2 linked regions of the Macaca mulatta genome follow. The protein of the gene in region 1 interacts with the protein of each later gene in a pairwise test. Links are inferred from orthologs where the notes say so. Each region holds a gene or a part of one and is shown on either strand. Other genes may lie near its edges.

Evidence for each region. The genes of interacting proteins can lie anywhere in the genome.
Region 2: the proteins of EIF4A3 (region 1) and CCDC174 interact in binary tests that used the Homo sapiens proteins (3 or more experiments, as listed by UniProt). The two-hybrid records come from large-scale screens. The link is inferred for Macaca mulatta from reciprocal best matches to the Homo sapiens genes EIF4A3 and CCDC174.

Annotation. Positions count from the first base shown.
Region 1 is NC_133421.1:89,823,841-89,827,795, reverse strand, and holds part of EIF4A3 (eukaryotic initiation factor 4A-III), read left to right. Parts: intron 1-2,078; coding exon 2,079-2,220; intron 2,221-2,975; coding exon 2,976-3,114; intron 3,115-3,751; coding exon 3,752-3,867; intron 3,868-3,955. UniProt on the Homo sapiens protein: ATP-dependent RNA helicase. Involved in pre-mRNA splicing as component of the spliceosome. Core component of the splicing-dependent multiprotein exon junction complex (EJC) deposited at splice junctions on mRNAs.
Region 2 is NC_133407.1:153,457,248-153,462,796, forward strand, and holds the start of CCDC174 (coiled-coil domain-containing protein 174), read left to right. Parts: upstream 1-2,098; 5' UTR 2,099-2,183; coding exon 2,184-2,225; intron 2,226-4,808; coding exon 4,809-4,913; intron 4,914-5,549. UniProt on the Homo sapiens protein: Probably involved in neuronal development.

The DNA.
Region 1 (3,955 bases):
GTGTGGTGGCATGGGCCAGTCCCAGGTACTTGGGTGGCTGAGGCGGGAGGATCACTTGAGCCCAGGAGTTGGAGGCCACCGTGAGCGGTGATTGTGCCATCCTGGGTGACAGAACAAGCCTGTCTTAAAAAATATTGCAAAATATGTGCGTGGTATTATGATACATATACATATATACACTATGCATCTATGCAGCAGCTCCAGGTGGGGAGTCTCAGAGTTCACTGGAGGGCACTGCACTCCTGTCTCCTGCTTGGTGGGCAGGAAAAGCCCCATTCCCCAGTCACTCACAGACGTCATCTCCTGTGTTGAGGATTGTGTTGGTGTGAGAGCAGAGGAAAAACCTAATTTGGGGGTTTTTCCTAAAACAATATGTTTCCAGACTTTCTGTACATAACTGTAGTTAATAGATGTGGAATCACGTGTATTCGGTTTGATAATCTGCTTTTTAAAAAATGCATCTGTCCATGATAAGTGTTCTGTGGCCTGTTTAATGGCAATAAGGTATTCTGTTGGAGGGATGTTCCATAATATATTTCTTGGTTGTGTAGGCTATTTCATTCTTTAAGATAAATTGGAGGGTGGGCACAGTGGCTCACACCTGTAATCCCAGCACTTTGGGAGGCCGAGGTGGGAGGATCACCTGAGGTCAGGAGTTCAAGACCAGCCTGGGCAACATGACGAAATTCCGTCTCTATTAAAAATACAAAAATAAGCCAGGTGTACGTGGTGGTGGGTAGTAATGTGTGCCCATAATCCCAGCTACCCGGAAGACTGAGCCAGGAGAATTGCTGGAACCCGGGAGGTGGAGGTGCAGTGAGCCAAGATCGCCCCACTGCACTGCAGCCTGGGCAATAGAGCAAGACTCTATCTCAAAAAAAAAAAAAAACACACACCCACATGCACACAAAGATAAATTGGTAGGATTCGGATGTACACTTTCTTGGATTTTCATAGGTGTTTTGAAGTGAGGACCTCTAGGTGATAGCAATTCTTCTCTTAGAATAGTGATTGGGAAATGCATGGTGATGTGTCACCTCGAATTCACTGTGAGGGTCTGTGGCAGGCCCCCCAGGGTCTTCATAAGGGTATCAGGTGGGTGGTGAGGAAGTGCTTTGTTCTCAGCACTCACCAGCGGTACCCGTGGGCATCCTCTCAGCCACGTCTCGGGCCTCTGGTTCCAGCAGTTTTTTGGGGGGCCTGTGCTCTGAGCACCTCACATCCCTCCCCTCCTCCTTCTGGGGCCCTTTATTGGACCCCCTGCTCCTCGTTGAGGTTAAAGGTTCGGTGACCACACTCAGTTTCTGTGGTGGCTGAGGAAGCCCTGGGTTGTGGGTGGCTCTTTGTGCTTGTGGCACTTAGGGCAGAGGTCCTCACAGTGAGGGGCACAGGCCGGGAGCATCCTTGTCACCTGGGGACTTGTAGAAATGCAGATTCTCTGGCCGCATATGATTTATGGAGTCAGAGCCTCCAGTTCATTAACTGGCCCTGTGGTGAGGAGGCTGGGCCCCTGCCTGCTCCTGGCTCCCTTCTCCTTTGCCCAGCTCTGCCCAGGCCTGGCGGAGGGTGCATGTGTGCTGGCTCCCGTGTTGATTCCGCCTGTGCCATGTTAAATAATGTGAATAAGTGGGCAGCATTTTTCACTGGGAGATTTTCTGTAACAAGATGTCTGGGTTCTCTTTAAAATGTGGCAGGTCTGGGCCCAGTGGATGCCAATCTCACAGGACAGTGGCAGGTGGAAGTGAGTCGGGACTGCGCCGCAGGCATCTGAGATTGTGGGTGACTCAGGCCAGCCTCTCTATTGCTTTTTATTTGGCGTCTAGGACTCTCGGGGTGGGTTTCTTGATCCCTAGAGCACTTCAGATTGAAGAAGCACCAGAGGAAAACCAGATTCCCTCAACCAGATAACACTCGGGGGGGGGCGGGGAGTAGGGACGGAGAGAACGCGTGGATGTGGCCTGGTTCTGTAAAAGTGAGATCCTGTCAACCGTACCTTATCCCCACTCTGCCTCTCACCCAGTGGGAACGCTGGGCGTGCCGCCCTAAGCATCCCTCACCTGTCTTGCGCCCTGTCCCAGGTTTCAAAGAGCAGATCTATGACGTGTACAGGTACCTGCCTCCAGCCACACAGGTGGTGCTCATCAGTGCCACGCTGCCACACGAGATTCTGGAGATGACCAACAAGTTCATGACCGACCCAATCCGCATCTTGGTGAAACGGTAGGAGCCCCTCTAGTCGAGTTTACTAAAACACTGGGCCCCATTTATAAAGGATTTTATGTCGTAATTTCAAAAACTTTTTATAGCCAGGGTGTTGCTGTGTTGCTGAAGCTGGTGTCAGAATCTGGGCCTCAGGCTATCCTCCTGCCTGAGTGTAAAGGAATTTAAAGCATGCAAATTCTTTTAAAATTCCTGTTTTGAAAAACTGAATAGGCTGGGCTACATAGGGAGACCCTATCTCTACAAATAATAAAAGATTAGCCAGGTAGGGTGGCACATGCCTGTAGTCCCAGCTACTCAGGAGGCTGAGGTGGGAGGATTGCTTGAGGCCAGGAGGCTGAGGCTGCAGTGAGCTGTGATCGTGCCACTGCACTTCAGCCATGGCAACAGAGCAAGACCCTGTCTCAAACAAACAAAACAAAACAAAACAAAAAAACCCATCTTTTATAATACTCATTGTGGTTTGAACCAATAATTCTAAATTTAAAAATTAGATGACTGTATTTACTTACCAGTGTTTTGTTTAGAATCATATTCCACGTGGTGCACATTGTGAAATGTTCAGTAGGATACAGAATAGAGACCTGTGTGACGGAAGTGCTGACGGGATGGAGGATAGGGCTGGGGCGCTGGGTCTGCACCAGATACCACGGTGTGACCTTCTCCACCGGGGTCTCCCTGCATCCTGGCTTGGCCCGCCCTCAAGTCCTAGCTGGAAGAATGAGGATGTAACAGGATTTGTCTTTGTCCTTCAGTGATGAATTGACTCTGGAAGGCATCAAGCAATTTTTTGTGGCAGTGGAGAGGGAAGAGTGGAAATTTGACACTCTGTGTGACCTCTACGACACACTGACCATCACTCAGGCGGTCATCTTCTGCAACACCAAAAGAAAGGTAAGAGGTACTGCATGGCCTCCATGTGCTTGAAGGGGAATTGCAGATTGAGTCTCTGAATGACTTAAATCAAGATTTTTCAGTGAAGGGCCAGTTTGTCCATATTTTAAGCTTTCGGGGTATGTGGTCTCTTGCAAAAGCAGCTGTAGACAATATGCAAATGGTCAGATATGGCTGTGACCATTAAAACTTTATTTACAGAACAGCGATGCCAGCCACCCTGAAAGATTCAGATTTCGTTGAAGGTGGAACCCAGGCTTGAGTAGTTTTAGATCCCCAGGTGATGATAATGTGGAGGCAGACCTGAGGACTGTCGGCCACTTTCCTGAGAAAGGAAAGGAATTGGGCTACATTCTGACAAGACTGGAATTCAAATTTCAAATGAGAATGAGCACACCTGGCCCCCTCCCCCATAGAGTCATTATGTGGAGAAAATGAAGTAAGAGGGTTTTGTGAGTGCACCCCAACATTTTCTGGGAAAAAGTTTGTGCATCCAGTTAGGATGATCCTGAGTTTTAAGAGCAGTTACTTTGAGAATATTGATACTGGTTCTGCAAATGATGGGGGTAAAATCCCGAATGCACATCTCTGGTTTGGTGTACGAACTTGCAGTAGCATCTGCTGATTGGATTTGTAGGTGGACTGGCTGACAGAAAAAATGAGAGAAGCCAACTTCACTGTGTCCTCAATGCACGGAGACATGCCCCAGAAAGAGCGGGAGTCCATCATGAAGGAGTTCCGGTCGGGCGCCAGGTGGGTCCGCTGTGCTGTGGCTCTGCCGGTCAGGGTTTGCTAGACTGTGTGCTAAGCACTTCATATGCACTGCCTGAGGCAGGCCCCA
Region 2 (5,549 bases), on another chromosome or scaffold:
TAATTTCAGAGACTGGCGGACTCGGATAAATAAACAAATGAAAATAAATAAATAAGACTGAACACAGTCAACTGCCTCAATTCCCCTCTCCTTTTCCCTTTTCCCATTTTCTTCATACAGCCAGATGAGATGAGGATGTGATGAGCCTCATTTTTCTTCTAATATGGGGGACAATAGTTCCGCTTCTAGAACTCTTGCAAGGATTATATAATATAATCTACGTAAAGAGTCATACACGTGCCCCACATGTACTAAATGCTGCTGTTACAATCATTACGATCACTTTCGCCTTGCTGCTGTAACAAATTGCCACAAGTTTGGTGGCTTAAAACAATTCTTGTAGAATTCTGAAGTCAGAAGTTTGAGATGAGTGTTCAAGACTAAAATCACCGTGTCAGCAATGCTGCATTCCTTCTGCAGACTGGAGGAGCGCCCATTTATCTGCTTTTTCTAGGGCCTCCTGCATACCTAGGCATGGGGTCCCACTCTCCCTCTTCAAAGCATCTCTGATCTCTTTCTGACTCTGGCCATCCTGTCTACCCCTTATAAGGATGATTCGATGATAGGGGACCCACCTGCACAATCCAGGCTAGCTCCCCATCTCAATAGCTTTAATTTCATCATCTCTGCCAATTCCCTTTTGCTATATAAAGGTCACCATATATCCAGATTCTGGGTATTCGAAGGTAGACATCTAGGAGTGGGGGTAAGGGTGATTAGTCTGTCTACCATAATCATTAACATGTTTATCAAGACTAGCTCATTTAACTCATCTAATCTTCACTAAGACCCATGAGGTAAATGAAATTATATCCCCTTTGGAAACTAAGGCACAGGGAAGTTAAGTAACTTGCCCAAGGTTACACAGGCAGTAAGCAGTGAAGCAGCGATTCCAACCCAGAAAGCCAGCTTTAGAGTTCACTTTTTTTTTTTTTTTTTTTGAGACCCAGTCTTGCTTTGTGCCCAGGCTGGAGTGCAATGGCATCATCTTGACTCACTGCAACCTCCAACTCACGGGTTCAAGCGATTCTTCTGCCTCAGCCTTCTGAGTAGCTGGGAATACAGGTGGGCACCACCACACCCAGCTAATTTTTTTTTTTTTTTTTTTTTTCAGTAGAGACAGGGTTTCACCATGTTGGTCAGGCTGGTCTCAAACTCCTGACCTCCTGATTCACCCGCCTCGGCCTCCCAAAGTTCTGGGGTTACAGGCGTGAGCCACCGCGCCCGGCCGAGGAGTTCACTTTCTTTTTTTTTTTTTTTTTTTTTTTTTTTTGAGACGGAGTCTTGCTTTGTCACCCAGGCTAGAGTGCAGTGGCCAGATCTCAGCTCACTGCAAGCTCCGCCTCCCAGGTTCACGCCATTCTCCTGGCTCAGCCTCCCGCGTAGCTGGGACTACAGGCGCCCGCCACCTCGCCCGGCTAGTTTTTTGTATGTTTTAGTAGAGACGGCGTTTCACCATGTTAGCCAGGATGGTCTCGATCTCCTGACCTCGTGATCCGCCCGTCTCGGCCTCCCAAAGTGCTGGGATTACAGGCTTGAGCCACCGCGCCCGGCCTGAGTTCACTTTCTTAAGAGCTGAAATAATGTAAAGTGGCACATAATAAGCACTATATTAATGTTAGCTATTATGCTTGTTATTTCTGCTAAGATTAATATAATAATCCTTATCTCGTACGCTCTTCTAAGAACCAACTATTTAACGTGTGAAAAGTGCCAGGCAGCAGGTCGTCGAATTGTAGTTAGATTCTTCCGGTCCTCCCAATCCACCTTTCCCGAGACGCTCGAGTTCACTCACTCAAGCGTCAGCCTTACCCAAGACGGCGTTATCTTTGTCCCCAACCCCACATCCGCCCCACCCAATATGGCGTCCATCACAATCAAAAGCTTTTTCGGCCCTTCTCAAGATGGCGCCCACGCTAATCTTGTTACCTTCCGCCCTCAAGATGACCTTAGCAGTTAGCGTCAACCTCCGCACTCTCTGACCTTTCCAAAATGATGGCGAACGTAATACGCACCACACTTTGACCTTCTCAAGATGGCGTTGAGCTGACAAACTCGCGTCGCAAACTCACGCAAACTCAGTGTCGTTATCGAAGACACTTCCGGTTGCGACGGAGGTAGGTTTACGAGGCCTGCTTCGGGTGCGAAGGGTTGCTCTTGGGCCGGGTCACTGCGGCACGACCATGGACCGTAGGAAAAAACCTTTGGACGTCACGGCCTCCTCGGTGAGTGAGGGTATGAGGTAACTCCATGGGCTCCGGGTTCACCCTATCTCCATCAGACAAGAATGTCGACCTAGCTTGTTTCTTCAGTCGGGGACCCAGAGATCTGACCTCTCCCCTCAAACAGGAATCCCCGACCTGGATTTTCTTCTCCAACGGGGATCCGGTTCAGTTTTCTTACAGGATCCTGAACTGGGCTTCTCTTCTCTGACACGCGCCCGAACCAGAACCCTCAGACACGGACCTGAACCTGGTGTCCCGTGGGTTAGGAATCTCCCTACCTCCCTCTGCCCTGCCCGCAAGGACCTGCACCTCGCCAGCCTTCTCCCTTACAGTCGGGAGGAACCGTAGCTTCTTTTTGCTATGCAGACATATCCTCTTCCTGGTTTCTCCTCCATTCAGGGACCCCCAAAGTCCTCCCAGAACTTTAGAGTGTGACATATTCCACAGGAGCCGAAAGTGCCCAGCGTTCCCCACCTGGAACTAAATAGTTGTTAATGCAGCCATAGGGAACTGTGAAGTCTGAAAGGATGTAAGCAGTTTTATTAAATCAGCTACCCTAGAAAGAAAACGTGTTCTAAGTACACATTTTGTGCCAGCACTTTTATATACACTCTCACTAATCCTCCCAATGGCTTTAGGAGGTAGGTGCTATTAATATCTCCGTTTTATAGATGATGAAATTGAGGCCCAGAAAGATGAAGTAGCTTTCCCCAGCTTACATACAGAAATCTTAGTGATAGCCGGGCGTGGTGGCTCAGGCCTGTGCTCGCGCCTGTAATCCCAGTACTTTGGGAGGCCGAGGCGTGCGGATCACCTGAGGTCGGGAGTTCGAGACCAGCCTAACCAACATGGAGAAACCCTGTCTCTACTAAAAATAAAAACAATTAGCCGGGCGTGGTGGCGCATGCCTGTAATGCCAGCTACTCGGAAGGCTGAGGCAGGAGAATCGCTTGAACCTTGGAGGCGGAGGTTGCGGTGAGCCGAGATTGCACCATTGCACTCCAGCCTGGGCAACAAGAGCCAAACTCCGTCTGGGGCTGGGGCGGGAGAAGAAATCTTAGTGATAGACCCTTGCTCATTCAGTCTAGCTGACTCCAGAGCTGCTGCCTTTTCATCATCAGAGCAAATTGCCCAACCTTTGATTTAATCTTGAATTTACTTAAGTACACAAAGGGAGTATGAAGGAAAACATAGGTGTCCCAATATTTGAGTACTAGTTATTATTGGTAACTAGTATTGGTTAAAATTGGTACTAGTTATTATGTTTGTTTGAAGATCAGGAACCAAAAAGCTATAAATATTAAAGCCAACCTATACTGATAGGCTAAAATTAGCAATAATTGTAATAAGAATGCTATTTGAGAATTTACAATTTTTTGAGCATCTTTTAAAGTCAAAGGCCATTGTAGACTAGGAAGATATGTGGCTGGAAAATTTGGTGTGGTTATGTAAGCTGAGAAGAAAAAGAAGTTTTTCATTTGTTTTTAAGAATTTACAGTATTAGGGTCTGCAGTGAAACTGCCCTTTGCATTTTTAAATGATTACCTTTTAAATCAATTTCTTCCAAAATGGAAATTGAACTCAGCCATTTTTATTTTCCTTAACAAGTAAAGTGATTTTTTAAGTATCTGATGGTTAAGTCAGTGATTAAGTATGTGATTTACAAATGCCCATCCATATAAGCAGCTGTACCTGGACCCTTAAAAAGGGAACTGTTGTTTTATCTTTTGCAGAGTAGGCAGGGGTGACAACTGTAGCTGAGGGAAAGGCACTAATACTCACCCAACTGCCCCACTCCCTATGCCTTGGCCTTCTTTCCTCTTCTTGAACCGTGAGATTCAGCCAAACTTATGGTTTTTGAAATGGATTAAGTCAGACGTGGAGCTGTTACAATTCACCCAGTCTATTTGATTTCTAGCTGTTGAAATAATGTGTCTTTAAAGGCTCTGCTCAAAGCTTTCTCTGATCACTCTGCTCGGAAGGAAATGCTCCCTTATCTGAACTTGTGTGCTACTTTCTTCCATTCTAGAGTCATTTGTTACATTTTGCTAGTATTATAAATTACTTTCCTTGTTACATTGTAGGCTCTTTGAGGTAGAGAGTATGTCTAATTCATGTTTATGTTCTGCTCTTCAGTGTTAAGTACCATGCACAAACTGGATGCTCAGATAGTTTTGGAATAACGGCATTTCCCTGTAGAAATAATAAGTAGTGATGATTAAATGAGTGCAGTGCTAGTCACAGAGAAGGTGCTTAATAACGCAAGTTTAATCTGAAACTAAAAGATGCAGACTTCATTAATTTTATTTTGCTTTATCACTTTCTCCTTGACTAAGGAAAGCCTCAGGTGTTGAAAGTTAGAGTAAAAATGCATTTGCAGCAGAGGTAGAATGAAACATGATTTAGCTTAATTTGTGTACTGGATTCTACATTTAAACATTAAGTTATTTAAACCTTTAGTTTTTTAGCCATATTTGTCCATTTAGCAGAACTTGAAATATTCCTTTGGAAATTAAAATAATTTAGCAATCCAGTCACCTGCAAAAATTTAATATTTTTGTTTACTTACTGCTTTTATTCTAGTTGGTAGATCTTAAGGCCGAACTCTTCCGAAAGCAAGAAGAATTCAAACAAGAAAAACTTCTAAAAGATTCTGGAGTTTTTGGAAAACCAAAAACAACTAACAAGGTAAAAAATAAGATCTGATGATCTCCATTGGTTCCAAACATGAGAGAATTATACCATATTTAAGTGTTTTAAGGTTGTCAGTGGTATCTGTACACATAAATGTTGAGGAAAAAATCTCTATCTTGTGTTTAACATTTGCATGAAATGTTATTAAAATAGAAATTAGTAAGATTATATAAAAGTGCATAGTAATGTGGTAATTCTTTAGCACTTCTTTTGGAAAAATGTGGATTGTTTACATTTCATAAACAGATGGAAGGTTATCTGGTTCTATAGGTGTTAGGTATCCAAATAGAGATAAACAATTAGATAATATAGGAATATAGCAGAAAATATCAGGGTGAATAAGAGCTGTGAATGATTTTTCCAGTTTTATAGGTAATAGTGTCTACTATTTGTATTACTAATTCTCTGTAATATGTACATTTTCATTAGTCTTGATTTAGGTTGTAATCATTAAGGAGATAAAAGATAGTAGGAAGTGATTCTGCACTCAAGAAGCCCTTTAGGCTGGGCGTGGTGGCCCACGCCTCTAATCCCATCACTTTGGAAGGCCGAGGCAGGCAGATCACTTGACCCCAGGAGTTCAAGACCAGCCTGAGCAACATGGCAAAACCCTATCTCTGCAAAAAAAAA